Linked DNA regions of Neodiprion lecontei. The main gene of each other region encodes a partner of the protein of the gene in region 2 in a complex. Links are inferred from orthologs where the notes say so. Each region holds a gene or a part of one and is shown on either strand. Other genes may lie near its edges. The genes, in order: RNA polymerase II-associated factor 1 homolog and RNA polymerase-associated protein CTR9 homolog.

Region 1 (10,505 bases), on a different chromosome or scaffold from region 2:
AAATTTTCAATTTATAAACGGACGGGATAAGAATTGCTCAAATGTAGCACAACATTTACTTTACAAGCATAATTTGCGGTCCCATCTTGTATACGTAAGACAAGGGTCAGATTTTCTATCTGTTTCAAGAGCGTTTGGTTAAACGCGACTAGTAATTCAAAGAGTTTTAGCATGAATGAATGTAATGAACAGACTTTACAAAAATAAAAATTTTGTAGACTGATAGGATTTTACGTCGCAGGATCCCTACTAACAGTATCAGATCTTTGTTCTCTTTTTTCCTGTCGAATATAACGGACGGCCACTAATTCGCCACAATTGTTTTCTGATTTCTCCATTACGCTTATTTCGCGATACGAAATTGTAATTTTTCAAACCTGATAAATAAGGATTCAACTCGATTCGGCAACTTATCGAGTATTCCACCACGGGACCTGCATGTCAAGTTGAAACGTAAGGATAATTCGCTAGTAGAATTCACATTAACGTGCTCACCATGCTCAAGAATGGCGAAACTTATTGCATGTTTTGAATGAATGAGATTTTGCTGTACCATCATTATCGTTTCTTACGAGGAACAGAACATTTGCCTTTCAACACTGAAGCCCAGTTGAAAGCGATGTAAGGCATTGGTTGCACTAAATCAGTAATTCAATATGTGTACGTTTATCTTGTGCAGAAGAATGACGAAATGTGGCAATTTTGCGTTGCGGTATTGCTGCCTTTGTTGCTCTAGTCGGCGTCCTTGCAGATTGTCTATGATCAGCTATTTTAAATGTTTTTCAGATCCGCTTATCTCGGTTTTCATTTCTATACTTCTGCAGAATAGTAACGAAAATGAGACCTAAACAACGTTCGCCTACTCTGTTGCATTCTACTCACGTTTAGTCGTTACATAACGCGTATTCTTTCGACTCGAATGATCACATCGATCAGTACGTGAATATCAATCATTTACCTTTCTCTCCTTCAGTCAATAATCACAGACCACCAAACAGAATTCACCCCATGATTACCGCTCGGATAAGTTACAGGTATGTTCACTTACTGAAAAATCCCCCTAGTTTTTTTTGATTTTATCTTCAATCGCGATGTTTAATGTATTTACAAAATCTTTTGCCCACCAGATATTGCATTCGAAATTTCGAGTTCCAATAGCAGTCCAAATACCATGAAGTTACAGTGGAATTTGGGGCAACATAAGGCACTGTGGTACTTTGCTGGATCGTTTTTGATCAGAATTGCATGCTGCCACCGCGGTGATTTGTTACGTACATAGCTGAGCGACTGTGAAGGATTCGACCCTAAAGTCTGCTATCCACTCGACTCATAGTGAAAGATATGCTGGGTCAATGAAGAAATGCATATGTCGAGTCATCATTTTATCCGTATGAATGTTGTTTGTTGACGTCTTATAACAAGTAAATATCGGTGGGCGATTGGTGTTACTTTGGGTCTAACAGTTCTATTTGATTGAAGTTGTTTCATTCGGTTATAGGTGTGTAGAAGCAGGATTTTCTCGCGCTCATACTCTGGTTACATCATTTTTCGGATTTCATTCAGGCCAATTTGGTGTAAAATTAAGAGGTACTGGAATGTATTGAATTATTGGTTCTTACTGAGAATAAGCTGGTAGAAATTAGTGACTGACAATGAGTTGCACAAAAGTATTTGGGGTGCATTTAATGAAAATTGTTTTATTAAAAATTGTAACTACCATTGACATATTTTATATAAAATCCCTAATATGTTAATTGTAGTCAATGCAGATTCTGTACATCACCAAAGTTTATCATGAACAAGGCTACCAAACAAACAGATAGCCCCGTAATTAAGCCTAACGAAATGTTGCACACTTCCTTGATTATCTTATTTGCGAGTGAGTGGGAGACTAACGGTGACAGGTAATCGATTGCTCACTTATGCTAATAATACAATTAAACTTATAGTCCAGATCACTCACTATCGGAACCACTGTCACTGCTACCCGAGCCACTCCCGCTGCCACTTCCTGAACCAGACCTTGATCTTGATCGCGATTTAGATCTTGACGGTGACTGCGATGGAGACTTAATGGGCGAACCAGAACCAGACCGTGATCGGGATCTGGACTTGGACCGTGATCGAGATCTGGACTGAGATCGTGATTTTGAAGTACTTCTAGATTGAGCAGATCCCGAACGAGACCTAGACTTGCTGTGAGATTTTGAACGGGAGCGTGACTTTGAACGAGACCTAGATTTTGAACGCGATCCAGATTTTGATCGAGATCTTGATTTTGAACGTGATCTTGACTTTGAACGAGATCGTGACTTCTTACTGGATGCTCGCGAAGATGCACGCGACGATGCACGGGAACCGCCTTCATTATCAGAGCCAGCTGAAAAGTACACAAATAGGTTTCATTATCATTCAGAAACGGATGTTATACATAATATACATTCAAACTCTCGACTTTAGTCTAGACAAAGTTCTTTCCAAGGTATTAAAAACGACGAACAAAACATTATGGTTACTGGTCAAAGAAAAAGTGTTTATTTTACACGAATTTTCTGTTTTCAAAAGAACTTTTAAATGTCTCGGTATACCTTTGTCTTCAGCCTTTTCAGTTTCTTGTGGTTGTCCCTCTTCCTCTTCCTCTTCTTCCTCTTCCTCTTCCTCGTCATCTTCACAGGGTGGTTCAAGCTGCTTCTCACGATAACGTTGCATCCTGAATTCATTGGCATTCAATGGTCGGTGGCGCACAACTAATCTTGTGTTATTAGGTGCCTGACCAGCCTTCTGTCTACGCTTGCTAAGACGTACTCGAGTTTCCAGCTCATTGTAGTAAACCTATACAGTGAAAAGACGATATAATGTGAGAAATTTTGCACTTTCGAAATACTAGACTACTAAAAATTGAACTTATTACAGTATTCTTGAGTTCGATATCGCTTCAATTTAAGACATAAGAATTAATATACCGAATTGCGATTTTGTTAAAAAAGGTATACAAATATTACAAACCCCGTCCTGACGCATGACAAGGAAGTAATTCTCTTCGTATCCCTTTGAAGCTTTGCTTTTAACGTTCCAGTTATACTCTCTTGCCATTTTGTACTCGTACTCCTCATCATCGGCATAGTCAATTTCTGCAGTGAAATCTCTGCGACGTTTTTCTAATGTCTCCTCTAGTGGTAAGAAGTACGCAACGAATTGTTCACCACTTTCGTCCATCACACCTCTGCAGAAAGGTATGAAATATCAAGTTAAAGACTGTCGTAAAATCCAGTTGGGATTTACAAGTTTGCCTGCACAAATTCTCAAGTTTACCTGATCATCGCCTGCGACATTTCCTCAATTTGCGCAGGTACTGATCGACCAGTCGGAGCTGGATCGGAATCAAATATTACCTGAGCACATGGGTACTTCCATACCTGTGAGTGGTATGAAATAAGCGAGATTAACAAGTGCCTTAATATTCCTAATAATAGGTCCAAAATAAAAGGAAAAATCGTCAGTTATTGCTCACCTTGAAATCAGGATAGATAGGTAATATTTCAACAGGCACAACGTTTGGTTTGCTGTAATGTTTTTCAATTAGCTTTTTATTGTCTTCAAATGTTTTCTCTATAGCTTTTATCTGACTTTCTCGATCCATGTATAATGTTTCCTCCTGTCAACAAATAAAATCATGCATTACTTGAAATGCCACACATCATGATTTGACTTTGACATTAGAAAAACAGATATCATTACCTTGAAATTCTTTTTAATACTGTAACCAACTTTAGCCTCAACCTTGTCCATAGTTTGGGGTTGAAACCGTGTCTGTTCAGTGGAGATGTACTCCGTACGTCTGAGCCATGATACACTCCGCGCATGATGCCTAGAACGTTTTGAATCTTGAGGAGTGAGGATGTCTTCTTCCAGAAGTTTCTCGTCCGCAGGATCAAGTTGGGCGTTAATATCTCCAGCATAGGTGTCCCGGTTTATTAAGTCAATCTCAACACCCAAATCATGCTCCGTCAATACTTCATATTTATAATTACGTTCCAGAGATGTCGGATTGTACTGTATGAATCTGTATGATTTACAAAGCTCTTATTATATCTGAAGTACTACCAACAAAATAACAGTTTTATTACTTTGGTTATGTCAATATTTTAAATTACATTCCTAAAACAGCTAAAATTCTCTAAAATATCGGGTTATATAACCGGATTTAATCTGCAAACTGTTAGAGTGGACATTTTTTCAATTTCGTAACATTACTCGAGAATTAGATAATTTTAAAGTATACTGGTGCTAATCATTAACCACATACAGTCAAAACTGAATGAGGACTGGGTAAGCGAGAAAACTCTGTAAGTAAGAGTAATTGTCACGTCAGTGAGACAGACCTTTCATGTACCTCTGTAAGCTAGAAACTCGGGTTAGTGAAAAACCTCTATAAGCGAAAAAGAGATTGCAGTCCCTTGAACTCTCGCTTATCCAGGTTCGACTGTATTACAATTATTAGTGAACTGCAACATATGTTAGCTCTATTACCTTGTTGATTCAAATGGATATGTGATGAACTTTGGGTCGAATGGAATATCTGGTAGGGTGTTACAGTACTTTACACGGCATAATAATTCAGACCTGAAAATCACAAGTGAAACATGTTTAATTGAATCGACCAATATTTTCTGCAGACAGGTTGCAATATCAGATTTTGTGCACATTCTTTTTTTATATTTTCTCAGCTTGAAATACAACTGATGTTTGCATTCATGTTTTTTTTTTTCTTCTGTTAATCTTTTAAATCGTTATGTACTAATGTAAGATATATACCTGTTTTCAGCTGGTCTAGGACGTTTATCAATGGCATCTTTATTATTGTTGGACTGAATGCCAGAGGTCATCTGATTCCCACTGTAATTGATGTAAATAGAAAATGTTACATTAATGAACAGGAACATTTTGATCAATTTTTCAAGCGAGGTGAATGATCAAATTTAACGATCATCAAAATAGTTGCATTACGGCAGACAAAGATCTTAGTCTCAGAGACTACAAGTTATAGCAAAATTTGCTCTCTAAGCTATGACATAAATTTGGTCGGGTAAAATGAATCGATAGTTTGCTGATATCATTAACGTTTAGATGCTAGTATACACGGTCTGTCCGGAAAGTAGTCGGACTGAATTTTTCTCGCCCAGATAGAGCGACGGAAAGAGGTCCTTTTCATGTGGGTCGGGTTGTGAGGAGTTTTAGCTAAGCAGCACACCTATCCCCAATCGCCTTCGAGCATTTCCAGAGTGTAGGTCGATTTTAAAATGAACTCCAGTCAAGGTGCCTCGTCACGCTTCGCAACGAATCGTTTATTCGAGCAGCATTGCGCGATAAAGTTTTGTTTTGAACTCAGTTCAACCGCAAGTGAAGCCCATGAAATGATCAAAAATCCCCAGTCACCCTACAGCCCAGATGTAGCTCTTGCAGACTTCCTTCTTTTCCCTCGACTCAAACGGGTTCCGAAAGGATGGCACCACGGCTTGGTCCAGGCCATTCAAGAGGTCGTGACGAGGCACCTTGACCGGGGTTCACTTTAAAATCGACCTACACTCCGGAAAGACTCGAAAGCGATTGGGGACATGTGCGCTTCTTAGCTAAGACTGCCGACAACCCGATCCACACGAAAAGGTCTCTGTCGCTCTCTCTGGGCGAGAAAAATTCAGTTCGACTACTTTCCGGACAGACCCTGTAAAAGGGTGCAAAGTAACGTTTACATGCAGAATTTAACTAGTTTGCTTCAAGAGTATATACAGAAGAGATTTTTGATAGGGTTGTGGCAGTAAAAAGTGTTGGCAGGGAGTTAGAATATATAGCGGTTCATATAATTTACCTCTTCTCAATCGGCCTAGCAGTTCGCTTGTCCCTGTCGTTACTGCTATTTGTCTGAATGGTTGGCGCCATAGCGTAAGTAGCGATGTATTTGTCAATTGCACATATTATTCACGAATTATTATAGGTACTCTAACTAATCACGATACCGCACTCCGATATTTATGAATATTTTTATAACGTATAACCTATAAGTTTTTAACCACGAACATACATCCATCCCCTGTCCCTTAACCACTGTTTACCCTCTCACACTATGCGTCGACTAAGGATACGCAAAGATTGATAGCCTGATGGGACTTTTCGTAATGGAATGTGGACGTGACAAATGCATCGTCAAGCGGCGCCCTCTGCATCCTGCCCATAGACTTATAAAGATAGTCTGAGCGCTCCTACAAGAGGTACTGAAGCTTACATATAAAGGACAGAGATATATTGGGAGGCTGCTCTCTCTTTTCAATCGATTTCATACCGGGAGACAAGGGCGTAGGGAACTGGAACAGCTATAGACATAGGTGCATAATTTCGCCTCATTCTCCTCTACCGCCTCGATCCCCGCCGCAAATATCGTCAGAGAGAGAAAGGAGTACTCCCGGCATATTTCTGTCCTTTAAATTTTTGCTTCAGTCTACCTTTTATAAGTCTATGGTCCTGCCGTGCACGCGCAACCCAATCCGGCAAATGGTTGGTACATAAAGACGACAAGAACTGATGTTACTAATCGTTCACCGCGTGTATCTAGATTTTGCCGAGTCGAATGACGTATCTATCTGTCTATCTATCTATACTTTTCAACTATGCAAGTTCATTTGAGCCTTGCCACATTCGGTAATGTTAATGTAATTCCATCAGATAGACAAAATTAATGTTATCTAAATAGATGCACAATAAATATACACCTGGTTTACTGTTAACAGAGTTAGAAACCTATTCTTGATGCAAATAATAGGAGAAATAGTCGAAGGAGTTAATTTAACCAAAGGAGAAGACATATAGTTATTCCTTACGTAATTTGTGTACTGTGACGCTGATTTTTACTGCACCTCGGCCACCCGGAGATGCGACTGATAACTTACAGCGCGTACAATCATTTGGCGGTCCGCGATGTACGCTGAAAAATAAAGACCATGCAAACGATATCGCGAGATTCTCTTGGGCGCCTGGCGTGGTCAATACTGCTTGAAATCTTTATCTCCACTAAACCTCGGGTAATATTCTCGGTAGTTCAGTACCGCGGCGAGGGGAGGGGTAATTTTGGAGAGAGGGAGAAAGACAGATAGAGAGACACTCGACAACGACACGCTATTTAACAAAAATAAAATAAAATAATACATTTTGCAATAGCGGCGATACAAAAACAAATAAAAAAAAAAGGAATTCAAAATTTGCTCTTCGTGATCCAAAATTAAACAGTAGAAAATTATTCGTAACCCACGCTACTTCTTAATATACTGAGCTTGCAGCCCACTAACCAAAATCTAACTTAATATTTACAAACCTCAAACGCGCAACCCTCAATTCGAAACCTGGACACTTTAACGCTACAGCAATAATTGCTCGAAATCGAAACTATAACTATAATTTCTCGATGGTTACTTTATATTCCCCTGGTTTGTTAAAAATACAGTTTCTTTGCATCGGAAAACCCAGACCATTCTACACAAAAATACTACTTGTCAATATTTTTTAGAAATAAGGCAACATTCGATTGTTACTAATATTTGAGTCCATGCTGTAACAAACCCTGATGATCCTTAGGCAATCATTATCTCAAAAGTAATAAAAAACAAATGTAAAGATGATCAAGGTTCCTTTTTACAACTTCTACTCATTACCTGGTTAGTTTACGACTCTGTCCGCTGACCTCCAAACACAGGATTGTTCAGAAATTTATTACCAAGTGGCCCAGATTATAATTGCCCGTATCTGTCCGCTTTATTATACATTTATGGCAGTGCCCGTATCGATTATTAGGAATTGCGAGTTTGAGAATATAATACATATACCCGACGAAGTCGATACTATTTTACCCGTAATTTCTGCATTTTACTGATAACCCTTAATAATAATATTAGGGATGTGCCGGATAGCGATTTGGCCGGATATCCGGCCATACAATATCCATCAGTAAGGAGTCATTTTTGAATTTTATTTCTTCAGGAAAGTGAACTACATTACAATCGAGATACCTTTTGTAACAAGAAATCCCATACTGAATGGTAATTTGCGGACACCTCGTAAACTTTGACGATATTTTTTAGTCAGAATTATAGGAAATGCTCATATTTTTAAGATGTTATTCATCACAAACTATTTATCTTCTACTATTTTCACCAGGAAATATTGTCAAAGTGTACGAATTGTCCACAAATTACCTGTCAGTACTGGAATTTTTTTTACAAGAAGATTCTCCATATAGTAATAACAATATGACTTGCAATTGTGTCGTTCAGGACGAAAGTTGAAAGTTTACCGAGTGTTGTAGTGTTGAGGAGGTAAAATTTATAAATTATTATGATTAAACGCGAATGAAAATGATGCATTGATCAACTCGGTAGAAAATTACTAGTTAATTAAATGTTGAAAGTCCGAAAGACAGAACTTACAGTATGAATCCAATTTTTGGAACATGCAACCCAAATTTACATAGACAAAAAGTGACATTGATAAATAATATCCGAATAAGGTTTCGCCGATATAAAGTAAATTAATAACAATTGAACGTTATTTAATGCAGCTCAATCCTACGTTCCACTAATAAAACTTTTTTGAAAAACGATGTCAATTAATTACAATTCTAAATTGGATATGAGAAACTATAACGACTGATACCACCTGAAGATGGATTTTCCGGATTATTTGTAATCAAATCCTTATCAATTATATACGGATGGTTTCATGCTGAACTGTTTATCGCTCGAATGAATGCGTCAAAGGTCGTACCAAGAAGTTTGGAGACGTGCACTCTTTAAATTACGATATTTCTGTGAAAAACACATAGCGGAAAAGTTGTAAGACCGTTCGGAAGCTTCAAAAGTGTTCTGCTTCCAACAATCGATTGGTCTTTTCTGAGACAATATTCTGACGTTAGCATCTCACCAGTAATAGGTTGTACATCGTATTTTTCAATTTATTGTTTATTTTGCAGACTTTTGCCGTAGTTGGAGAATAACACGGAACACCCCCTAACAAATCGGAGCCTTGCTCCAGAAATTACTTATTGTTAAACTAATGTGTTAAAATAAGTAATGAACTGAACCTTGAACCAGACGACTTCATCGTTTACGCGTAATCACACGTCACTAATCACTAATCCTTTACGCAGGGAATGGACAGTCGGAATAAAGAATTAGAATGAACTGGCAATACTAGTTTAAATTGATATCAATTACCGTTGAGTGTAAAATTGTTATTCGTAGAAAGTTGATTCTGATATTTGACGAATGTTACTGTTAACTGAATTAAATGTTTTTAATTTCTCTGCAAAGTTTAGGCTGTAGTTTTTTACCCTGCTTCACCCATTTGCAAAATCATGTATATGCACATCTAAACTCCTGGAAGTTAAGTTTTTCGATATTTTTCAACAGTTTAAACTGCATCAATTTGAGTCGAGGTTTGATCAGTAATATTTAGATTGTACGTTTCTGATGTTTCGCAGACTTCTCGCATAGTTTTGCAAACAAAAACACGTCTCCGACATACCTATTTGATTGACATTTATTTATCCGTTGTATAATTTCGGCGTACGTATTTCTTGCACGAGATTTTCTCAACTTTTCAATTTTGCGATGACGACGATATGTTACCAACGTTTTGCACGCGATAATTGTTGGTTATGAAGAACTTCTTTTACCGGCATGATCAATTACTTGGTTGATAATACGTGAAACTGCTAATACCCCCAAACCCGGCCAGACCCGGCAAACCGTTACGAAAAATAACCCAGGGTCTTGGCATGTTTATGTATTCCTAAATTCTTGAACCTAACTTCACGAACGTTAGGCTAAATTTTCATGCAGCGACACAAGTTTCGGGCGCGTCATCGGAGAAGCATGCCGAGTGTTGCATTTACTTTTGATTTAGCGAATAAAAACAGCAATTTTTACCGATATACTTTTTGAAACTTAATATATTCATACGTATTCTTTATACATATTTGTTCTCTGCGGTCGGTTAAAGTTTTAACGCGTGCGGGATATTTACAAAATAAAACTCGAAGAATTGTTGATTAAATTATATATATATTTTCAAAGGTACAGAAAAAGTTTTCAGATTCCCAAAAATGAAGGTACGTAAGTAAAGATCGATATTTGTTTTCGGGATTGGAATTATTTTAAACCTGATTCACTGTTGCTTGTAAAGTTCTACTGGATAATGTTCTTTGTACTGGTCGACGTGCTTTGCCATCGCTTCCGATTGTTTCCTAAAATAAATCAAACGTTTACTCCATTAGCTCCCGATTGTTTCACACGTTCAGTTATCTCGCATTGATCGTACAAAGTAAACGTACTTAATATGATCTGGCATGTTGTAGTACACGTCAGTGAACACCTCCTTCCAGTTGGGTTTTACGTTCTTTTCGGCCGCTGCAAAATCCGATAGTATCTGCTTTTTGATCGACGATACGAATTCTTTTTCCT
Region 2 (11,128 bases):
CGAGCTCGGAAAGTGGTACGTTATTATGGATCGTAATCGTCTCCTTGGGTGATTCCGATACCCTTCCGGGTAAACATAGATTTTTGTGTACACGCGCACGGTTTGATCGGTCGAGGGGTGATAACTCAACTCGAGTGCTATAGCGTAATCAGTGCAGGTGCTGATAATAGTAAGTGCTTATCTCACTTAGGGGAAGGACGAACTTTGAACTCTACGTATTAATCGCAAAATTATTCAATTATTTACTATTTTGAATTGAGTTTTATATTTTATTTAAATGTTTTCGTCGATTTTGAAGACTTTGATCGCGGGTCTGTTGCTTTCTTTCAAATTAAACTGCGCAAACAAAGCGATTGAAGAATATTGTCAAATCGATGCAAATATTGGAAACACCTTTTGGGTTAGAAGCGCCACGAAGGAAAAGCACGCATCGCTTTACGCCGCGTCTTTGTATATTATCCGCACCTATTGCAACATTCTTTCCTTTGTTCATTCGAAACTGAAAATGGAACGATTCAATTTTCGACAAGAAATAAAAAAGCAGCGCAAAGTTGAAAATCAATTTCCCCAAAAAGAATCGACCACGATTATTACAAATTAATTGTTACGACATTATATCGTATTTGTTCAAACAACCTGTAATACGAAAAATCGCAGGTCCGTATGGAAGACCATAATATTGGGTCAATTTCTGTCCGTCGTACTGTGCTTCATGACGATTTTCAACCACCACATAAACACCGAATACCACCTCGCCTTGCCAACAGGTACGTACATACATACATTCGAAGATTGTAAACCGCGTCATCTATTCTCTTGCATCGATATTTTTTCCTCGTCGTTTTTTCAACAGGTCAGAATCTCCCCCATTACGCCATGATGTGCATCGTCTACACGACGTGGATGTCCTGCAGGGGGGTTGGCAACGGATTAATATCCGTGACCAGGGCAAGAGGATGGCGTTATCTTTTACTCGCGCTGATCGACGTCGAGGCGAAAACCTTGGTCACGGCCTCTCATCAGTTCACAAGCCTCGCCAGTATACAAGTGGGTTCAAGATTTCTTCCTAGTTTTTTATTTTTTACGTTTATCAAGTCGATCATCACATCCATTTTCTCTGTTAGCTCTTATTGTTGGACTGCGTGGCAATTCCAGTTGCTTTAGCGCTATCCTGCCTGGTTCTGGGAGTCAGATACAGGATGGTGCACATTATCGGAGTTTCGGTCTGCCTAATGGCCATCGGAAGCCTGGTGTGGGCGGACATCGAGGACGACAAGGACTCAACAGCTATGACTGGTTTGTCTTTATCGAGTCGAAAAATTGGTTCCGATCATGATCCGTCAACGTCAAAAGGGGGAATCCTGATTGTTTTTTTGTTTTTTGTCTTTTTAAGGCAAAAATCAACTCGTCGGTGACATGCTCTGTCTGGGTGGCGCGATCTTGTTCTCCGTGATAACAGTCCTCCAGGAACTGGCCGTAAAGACCGTTGACATCATAGAGTACCTGGGAATGATAGGATTTTTCGGCACGATCATCAGCTGCATGCAAGTGTAAGTGATTACCGACATTTTAACATTGAACACTGCAATCCAGCGAAGCGACTTGTCTTTGTTATAATTAAATCAGGGGCGTTCTCGAGCGGCTACAACTGGAATCATTCTGCTGGGACAACGCTCCTGTAATAACGTTCCTCATCCTCTACTGCATCACTCAGTTCGTGTTTTACTCTCTTGTACCTGTGATCCTTTTCGAATCAGGAGCAACTGCGCTTCAGCTCGCACTCCTGACTGCGGATTTCTTCAACATTCTATTCGGGATGTTGACGAACCAGTACAAGGTGTTTTTCTTATTTTTTTATCACGGTATCTTAGGGGCCGTTCAAGTATCAGCCAACGCTAACACAAATAATAACGCTGGCCAATAAACTTTTGAAAACGCGTTAGCTAACGATGAAAAACAGTGGCTGGGCAAAACAAGTTATCACTTGGTAGGAAATACAAAAATTTGCAAAAAAATACGTCGGCTGATAGTTGAACGGTCCCTTATCAAACGTGCTTTCGGTCGATTCGTACTCACACCGTTACTTTTCCAGTTTCATACGCTCTACTTCGTTTCTTACACCTTGACGATGAGCGGCATATATATTTACGCGATTCAACGGACACCGATTTCGTCAAGTTCAAGAAGACAGCAAGTCGAGCAGCCGGCCCCGGACTACAGGTACGAGCTAGTAAAATTCGCTATACGGATTTTATGCTTTAAACCTATAGTTGACGTCGATTTTCAAGCTTGTCGATTTAGCAGGTGTGTTTAAAGCATGGAATCTGTGGCGCGCGTCCACCCCTCCGTGTTTACTTGGCTAATATTTTACAACGATCGATTAAAGCGACATTATTTTAAGACACATGTCACATCCCGACGTTGGTGAAGTTGAAATGGCAACGAGTTCAGGAATGTCGGCTGTCAGCGGTACCCTCGATTTACGCGCCTCGACGCTGAGCAGCGAACGAGAAGCCATCATCGACGCCACGAGTCTTCCTTTGAGCGTCAGCTCGGACACGGCCTTTACTTCGTTTTATGGCAGTCAGGTGAATCTAAAGGTGCGGGAACTGGTTTTGGAAAAAGAATATTCCCTTAAATTTCATTCGTATGACTGCGTAATATTTTGTTTCAGACGGTAACGACGAACGGTGGTGGTGCGGCATGCTAATAATTATCCATTGACATGATGAGACAATTTTACCACCGTACTGTGCGTATAGTTAATTCGAAATCCATTATTCAAACGCAAAACTTCACGCGCACACATTAATTATCATATACACGTCGACGCAAAGAATAAAAACATCACAATCATCACCCGAAAGCAACAGACTTAACATTTGTATTTACAATAATGATTATACAATGATAATAAGAAATTCAGGCGCTAATTATATTAGGTATAATGTTGTCGATGTATGATCGATCCGTAATTGATATAAATATTTAATTATTACGATACAATACTGCATACGTTTAGAGTAGCATTTAGATAATTGAAACGTTAATGCCACTTTATAGAAATATAAAATGAAAAATGCAAAGCTATAACGAAACGGAAAAAGACGTTTTTAACCAAAATATAACAAAACTTCGTAATTAAAGTAGTAAAAAAAATGTGCCAAATGTCAATGATCATTTTAAATTCGATTTCACAACAAGACGCACAAGAAAACAAAACGAATGAAATCCATACACGGCACAGGAAATTTTTTTTATCTACATTCGTTACGATTATTAATATTATTTATCGTGATTTTCAAGATTCAATTTCACGTCTTGCAGTAATTAATAAGTTGTAATTCTTTGATTAACAATTGTGTTGAAATTTGTGTACATACGAAAAAAAAACAAAAAATGGTTATCTTCAAACTGTAATTTATGTAACCCTATTATAACGTATGATTATATAAATAGGAAAGTATCATTTGTGTTTAAATTAATGTGGATTCAATTTGAAATAAATATAATACTTCAAGGACTGTAGAAAAAAAAAAAAAAAAATGAAACCAGCAAAAACTGATTATACACATCCTGAATAGTGTGGTATATCTTGTAAATTTTGTATAATCCAACTGCAAGACTCGAAATACCGTTTTAAATAAATAAATTCCAACAGAAAGAAATTCACGGTGTATACGATAAATTCTTTTTGAAAAGAAAACGTGCGGAAAGTAATAACGCGATTGAAAAGTACACCGTGTCACGTTTCGCGCAAGCGCCGATTTCATTCACGGCAACGATGTCTCGCTCGTCTCACTATTCAATTCGCTTCAGTAGCGATCGTAGCGAGACCGTGGCGAGCGCTAAAGGCCGAAGCGATGGCGAGCATCGAGATACCTCTTCGTGATACGGACGAGGTAAATTTTCATAATATCTACCTTATTTTACGACCAATTAAGCTGGTTTCGATTTCTCATCAACCAAGTTCGAGGCCCGCGTATCTTGTTCGTAAACGAGCCGACTGCGTGTCAAACACACCCAACATAACCTAGACGAGCGGGGCTTCTCCTGAGAAAACCGACGCACTCGTTGTGTATCATTTACTATCGAGGCAACTTACAAATCCACGCTTCCCAATTCGCAATACGGATGAATAACTCCTCTTTCCGCAACTAGGTAATCGAATTGTACCTGGATCAATTACCCGACGGCGATGAGGTTCTCGGTATTTTGCGGCAGGAACATGCCCAGCTCAGCATCTGGGTCAACCTGGCGGTGAGAGTTCTGCTTTGATTTAGGCCCTACATTAGGCGTGTCACCGTTTACCAATTAGACGTATAAATATTAACCGACTGATATTTCTTTACGCACAGCTCGAGTATTACAAACAACAGAAGATCGAGGATTTTATTAAGATTCTGGAGTCGTCGAGGATCGACGCAAACATCGACTACAGGGATTATGAAAAAGACCAGATGCGAGCACTGGACATGCTGGCCGCGTACTACGTCCAGGAGGCGAATCGCGAGAAGAACAAGGACAAGAAGAGAGATCTCTTCACCAAGGCAACGTTGCTCTACACTACGGCGGACAAAATTATCATGTACGACCAGGTAAGTTTTGGATCCACCTTGAGGTAGAAACGTGACAGAAGCAGGCAAGGATTAATTTTGTTTTATTATTCCTACAGAATCATCTCCTCGGTCGAGCCTATTTCTGCCTCCTCGAAGGGGACAAAATGGAACAGGCAGATGCACAGTTTAACTTCGTTCTGAACCAATCGCCTAACAACATTCCGTCGCTCTTGGGGAAGGCGTGTATAGCTTTTAACAAGAAAGACTATCGCGGAGCTTTGGCATTTTACAAAAAGGCACTCAGGACGAATCCCAATTGCCCGGCGGCGGTCAGACTCGGAATGGGACATTGTTTTATGAAACTGGGTAACCAGGACAAAGCCAAAATGGCGTTTGAGAGAGCTTTGCAGTTGGACGCGCAATGCGTCGGAGCTCTGGTCGGCCTGTCGGTACTTAAATTGAATCAGCAGCAGCCGGACAGCATCAGAACGGGTGTTCAAATGTTGTCCAAGGCCTACACGATAGACTCGACAAATCCGATGGTTCTGAACCATTTGGCGAATCATTTCTTCTTCAAGAAAGATTACAACAAAGTACAACATTTGGCTCTGCACGCTTTTCATAATACCGAAAACGAGGCTATGCGTGCTGAGAGCTGCTATCAACTCGCCAGAGCCTTTCACGTCCAGGTAAATACCTACCTCGGCGGTAACGGTTTTAGTCTTTTCTGAACGGTGCTGCCGCTTTACTACACGTTAAACGCAATATTTTCAGGGAGATTACGACCAAGCCTTTCAATACTATTATCAGGCGACTCAATTCGCTCCCCCGGTTTTCGTCCTGCCTCATTTTGGCCTTGGTCAAATGTACGTCTATCGTGGAGATGCCGAGAATGTAAGACAACGCAATTGTTCCGACAAGAGGTTACTTGTATACCTAAGAACTTGTTCGTGTGTTCTATCAAATTCATTTCCCTCCAGGCAGCGCAATGTTTTGAAAAAGTTCTGAAAGCCCAGTCCGGCAATTACGAAACAATGAAAATTCTTGGCTCTTTGTACGCCAACTCAAGCTCCCAGTCGAAAAGAGACATAGCCAAAAGTCATCTGAGAAAAGTAACGGAGCAATTTCCCGACGATGTCGAAGCGTGGATCGAATTGGCTCAGATTTTGGAGCAAAGCGATCTAACGGCTGCATTGAATGCTTATGCTACAGCCACCAGAATTCTTAAAGACAAAGTTCAGGCTGATATTCCACCTGAAATCCTTAATAACGTCGGTGCTCTTCATTACAGGTAGGTCGAAGCTGAATTGTATATTCTCCTTTGTAACTGAGTTTGCAGAAGTAAAGAATTTCTGTTTTACTAGACTTGGAAATTTAGAAGAGGCAAGAAACAACCTGGAGGAGTCTTTGGCCAGGTCGAAAACTGACGCTGAACAAGATCCTGTTTATTACAATTCCATTGCAGTCACTACGACGTATAATTTGGCTCGCCTAAACGAAGCATTGTGCGTATTTGACCGGGCAGAAAAACTGTACAAAGACATTTTAAAAGAACACCCGAATTATGTGGACTGCTACTTGCGGTTAGGCTGCATGGCCAGAGATAAGGGTCAAATTTACGAAGCTTCGGATTGGTTCAAAGATGCCTTGAGGATAAATAACGAGCATCCGGACGCCTGGTCACTCTTGGGAAACTTACATTTGGCTAAAATGGAGTGGGGACCGGGACAAAAAAAATTTGAACGGATCCTGAAAAGTCCAACGACCAGCACAGATGCCTACTCGCTTATTGCCTTGGGTAATATTTGGCTGCAGACTCTTCATCAAAGCGGGAAAGACAAGGACAGAGAAAAACGGCACCAGGACAGAGCCTTGGCCATGTTCAAGCAAGTGAGTATCACCCCTTTTAATGACCGTGAAAAGCCTTGTGGATCGAAGCTATACTCAAAAGATATGATCGAATTTCTCAGGTATTAAGAAATGATCCAAGAAATATTTGGGCCGCAAACGGTATAGGAGCTGTACTTGCTCACAAAGGTTGCGTCAACGAGGCCAGAGATATATTTGCCCAAGTCAGAGAAGCAACAGCTGAATTTTGCGATGTCTGGTTGAACATTGCTCACATTTACGTGGAGCAAAAACAATTCGTCAGTGCTATTCAGATGGTTGGTATTACGAATTAACGAATATCGTTTTATCTATTCACCATGCTTTGAAACTAATTTTTATTTCAGTATGAAAACTGCTTGCGTAAATTCTACAAGTATCATCACGTAGAGGTTCTTCAATACTTGGGCAGAGCTTATTTCAAAGCTGGAAAACTGAGGGAAGCTAAAATGACTTTGTTAAAGGTATAGGAACAGCAATGTCACACATGACTCTTTCTATTCATTTCCGTCGCTGACGCGTCTGATATTTACTCGAAATTCCAGGCTCGCAGAGTAGCTCCCCAAGACACATTACTGTTGTACAATATTGCTCTGGTCCTACAAAGATTGGCGACGCAAATTTTGAAGGATGAAAAATCGACGTTGGTTATTGTATTGCAAGCTGTACATGAATTAGGATTATCCCACAAATATTTTCAATTCCTGGGTATGCAGGGTGAGAAAATGGATCAACTTGCTGAAATTGAGGCAAGAAAATGTCAGGATTTGCTGTCGCAAGCGCAATACCACGTTGCTCGAGCACGAAGGCTGGATGAGGAGGAAAAAATCCTCCGAAAAAAGCAGGAGGAAGAAAGGTAACAATTGGATAAGCATTCCTGTTAATTTTCAAATAAATAAGCGCCGAAAATTTCTACATGGAAATATGCTGTGAATCGATTTGTTTTCAATGTTTCATTTTCATTTTCATTTTTTTTTTTTTTTTTTTTTTTTTTACAGACAAGCCTTCAGAATACGCCAGACGGAAGAACAGAAAAAGGTGGAAGATATGCGTCGCCAGAAATCAGAAGCCATGTTACAAAAACGACAAGAGTATGTGGAGAAAACGAAAAATGTTTTACTATTTGGTGACATGCCATCAGAAAAGCCTACAAAGAAGGGTAGGAAAGTAAGGTCTGAACAATATCTAAGCGATAGTGGCTCAGATAGAAATGAACGTACCGAAGATTCAGCTCCCAGAGAAAAAAAACGCAAGAGAAAGAGCAGCGGTGAGAGAAAGGAACGGAAATCGTCAGGAAAGGGAAGAAGGAAAAGGCATGCTAACAGCGGAGAAAGTGGAGGTAAGTTTGAACATCAGTAATATAAATTGATATTTTCATTGGCTGCTTAAATCCTGTTTTGAATGTTTTGTAATCATTAACAAATCGGTCCCATTTATGAACTACAGGTTCGGGAAGTGATCGACCGAAAACTAAACGTGGCAGAAAAGCGGGAGGAAGTAACAAAGGTAAAGGATTTCGCAAGAGTGGCACCGCTGATTTATCAAGTAAACAAAAAATGCGAATTGTTTCTAAAGAAACTATTTCGACAAGTGAATCTGAGAGCGATAATGAAAGGCCTAACATGGCAAGCGGGTGAGTGATCATTCTGTATTTTCATTTCACTGTAGATGCCTGTGATGATCCATTGTCTAATTTTAATTCGCTAATATTTCAGAAACGAAAGCGGGGAAGAAAACGCAGGGCGAGGAAGGCGTAGAATCGCATCGGAGTCCGAAGGTTCTCGTGCCTCACGTTCCAGATCTCGTTCTAGGTCAAAGTCTAGCAGCCGTTCAAAGAGTGGATCCCGATCGCGTTCAAGAAGCGGTTCACGATCCAGGAGTGGATCTAGGTCCAGATCTACATCTCGCAAAAGTGCCTCGAGGTCGCGAAATCAATCACGGTCACGCTCCAGATCTAACAGCGGATCAAGAAAAAGTGGTTCGAGATCGCGATCCAGATCTAGAGGAAGCAGTGGCTCGAGGAAAAGTCACTCTAGGTCCAGATCCAGATCCGGATCCGGCTCACGATCGAGATCAAGATCAAAATCTGGTTCAAGATCACGATCCAGATCGAAATCAGGATCAAGGTCAAGATCGCGATCAAGGTCACGATCACGATCAAGATCAGGCTCAGGCCAAAGCAAGTCCAAGAGTAGGAGTAGGTCACGGTCCGGATCAAGATCGAGATCGAGATCAAAAAGTGGCTCCAGGAGTAGAAGTGCGAGCGGATCAGCAAGGTACGATAGAAAATTATATATTTGATTACCACTCCAATTTTCGAATATACTTCGAATTTTTGATGCTTTTCATGCTTCATTTCTACACCAGTCCGACTTGGATGATTTACAACCCTTGCTTATTATTATTGATTGAGAAATATATTCACAGATCCGCAAGTCCTGTGTCTCGGAAATCGATATCTGGCAGCGAAGATGGTTCTCGCCATTCGAGTCCGCAAAGAGGTGGACAGAGCGGTAGTGAGTAATTGAAAACTGACAATTTCACTGTCATTAATTTAATAATTACTACCTTAACTACCTATACAATATCCAATTTTATTATAGTTTTTCCTGAACCTAATTATCAGAAAAATAATTTTTTTCACTAATTCTCAATTCACAAGTTGGCCAACGTCTTATCGGTATTCGAAGGGTACTCTTCAGTTTCAAATTGTATAAACTAGACCATGCTAGCACAAAAAAACTGAAAATACTCTTGCAATATTATAAAAACCAATGGTTTAGGATCAAAACCTATGGTGTCTATTTCGAAGGTAGCGAGAATGACATTAACGAGAAAGTGACAAAACTATTCAATTGATACTAAGCCTATTGGAACTAGGAGTAATTGTATGTGAGTCGAATAAGGAATGAACCATTCACACTAACGATAATGAGTTACCCTTCGTGCTAGCTACTGAAAAACAGAGTTGCCAAATTTGCAAGCAAAGAAATATATTTATGTAAGTAGAACGTATTGAATTAGCATCGATGATGTGAGTTTTAATATCATCGAAGCGTTAAGAACGACAAATTTGTGATAATTTAGGAGTTGAAACAACAAAGAAATCTAACAACTGTTACATTTTACCTATACAGGATTGAAATTATTGTAAACTCTGTGTATCAGTGGAAAAAAAAATTACCCGCCTTGAAACCATCAATAAAATATCACACACAAGAATTCATTTGATTGCCTATTATTTTTACAACCTTTTTTATCACAGACCTTACTATCCAAAAAACAAATTTAGTGAAAAGTTTTGACGAAAATTGAAACTTGAATGGGACCACAGAGAAGTTTGCAGCTTAAAAGATGAATAATTACTATCAATGAATTGTTACAGCTCATCGTTGTTACAAGCCTAGTAAAGCAGCGGGTTTCTTGTCGCGTATCTATGCTTACCGCTTTGGAACGAGTACATATTTGACGTTCACAATATAATAAATAGCTATTACAATGCTGCATCAAATTCAGCAAATGGCAAGTATTAATTCGAATATTCGTATAACTTTGAATTATCGCCGCAGGTACAGATGAGTCTAATCAAATCTGAGCTAGAAAACACATGTATAAATTCTACCGCCACGCCATGAAAAAGGAACAACGATAGACAATGCGATTTATCTCCCAGAGCAAACCCATTGTGCGAACTGGCAGATCTGTCGAAGAATTTATATTGCATGCAAAACTCACCAGTCAGCTCTCGATTAACCGCTACAGCTGCGCTGTTGCATCTTGTGACTTCCTCCGTTACACGTAGTTGTCCAGCATTTACGAGGCGGTTACAGTCCTTTCTGAAGCATATCTTGGATCAGCGGTGACTGCAATTAAATCAAGCAAAGTTAAGAAGTAATCCCAGATCATCGGTTGATTATTTTCATCAAATTTTCGTGAAAATTTTTAAGCAATTTACACATATACTTAGCAGTTAACAAACAATCAAGAAAGTGTTCTTACCATTGCTATTTCTATTTTCAAGCTGCAGCTTGAGTCCTGGTACACACAAGCATGGCTCCATGAGAATCTCCACACAGCTTCGTCCAAGCGAATAATACACAGATGTAGTTTATCTGTTCATGTTTCTCCATATAGCACCGAGAAAACAACCACGATTGTCGTGGAACGCGTTATTTTACTTCTCTGTTCGAATCCGAGCGGCTAAGCAGCTCGGAATGTTCGAGATCTTTCGCAATGAATACAAATTGAACTGGTAGATTTCGCGAGCTGACCTATTTCCGAGATATTGTATGGACAATGTAAACCGATAATTCGCGTCTACTCTGAACATTTTTTGACTCTGAAAAGAACGTATCAACTTTTCTAGCGCAATTATTTGAGAGAAGAAGAATTTAACGGTCGCGCACTGATTGTCAAGATGGCGGTACGATCGTTTTTCAACTGTCTTTTGCGGCGTTCAGAAATTGCCAAAAGTTTTGATCAAGAATCAAGATCTTGGCGGTTGATTGTAGACTGATAGATTTTTATAAAGAAACAATGTAGATTTAGTCTAGTTTGAGGTTTATCACTAATATATAATATAATTACAGAAAAAGCCAAAATTTTCTCTCCATTAGTCCCACGCTCAGCTTTGCGGCTGACTTTCGTTCGCCTAACTTCTACAAAGAGTTAAACATTATTTA

What was found.
Region 1: RNA polymerase-associated protein CTR9 homolog (region 2) and RNA polymerase II-associated factor 1 homolog share a complex: the UniProt entries of both Caenorhabditis elegans proteins name them as parts of the PAF1 complex. The link is inferred for Neodiprion lecontei from reciprocal best matches to the Caenorhabditis elegans genes ctr-9 and pafo-1.

Annotation. Positions count from the first base shown.
Region 1 is NC_060263.1:34,357,547-34,368,051, reverse strand, and holds RNA polymerase II-associated factor 1 homolog, read right to left. Parts: upstream 6,151-10,505; 5' UTR 5,938-6,150; coding exon 5,867-5,937; intron 4,897-5,866; coding exon 4,816-4,896; intron 4,624-4,815; coding exon 4,531-4,623; intron 4,064-4,530; coding exon 3,739-4,063; intron 3,656-3,738; coding exon 3,512-3,655; intron 3,417-3,511; coding exon 3,313-3,416; intron 3,224-3,312; coding exon 3,007-3,223; intron 2,833-3,006; coding exon 2,589-2,832; intron 2,381-2,588; coding exon 1,956-2,380; 3' UTR 1,671-1,955; downstream 1-1,670. Other genes in the region: 2-oxoisovalerate dehydrogenase subunit alpha, mitochondrial, read right to left, coding at 10,210-10,288, 10,376-10,505. UniProt on the Caenorhabditis elegans protein: Component of the PAF1 complex which is a multifunctional complex involved in transcription initiation via genetic interactions with TATA-binding proteins, elongation and transcription-coupled histone modification.
Region 2 is NC_060266.1:25,827,112-25,838,239, forward strand, and holds RNA polymerase-associated protein CTR9 homolog, read left to right. Parts: upstream 1-3,789; 5' UTR 3,790-3,863; coding exon 3,864-3,902; intron 3,903-4,161; coding exon 4,162-4,260; intron 4,261-4,358; coding exon 4,359-4,598; intron 4,599-4,675; coding exon 4,676-5,248; intron 5,249-5,333; coding exon 5,334-5,453; intron 5,454-5,539; coding exon 5,540-5,850; intron 5,851-5,923; coding exon 5,924-6,449; intron 6,450-6,529; coding exon 6,530-6,724; intron 6,725-6,793; coding exon 6,794-6,910; intron 6,911-6,991; coding exon 6,992-7,302; intron 7,303-7,444; coding exon 7,445-7,785; intron 7,786-7,892; coding exon 7,893-8,079; intron 8,080-8,161; coding exon 8,162-8,722; intron 8,723-8,873; coding exon 8,874-8,970; 3' UTR 8,971-9,672; downstream 9,673-11,128. Other genes in the region: solute carrier family 35 member F2-like, read left to right, coding at 1-15, 658-767, 854-1,047, 1,125-1,296, 1,394-1,550, 1,627-1,837, 2,093-2,220, 2,402-2,600 and 1 more. UniProt on the Caenorhabditis elegans protein: Component of the PAF1 complex which is a multifunctional complex involved in transcription initiation via genetic interactions with TATA-binding proteins, elongation and transcription-coupled histone modification.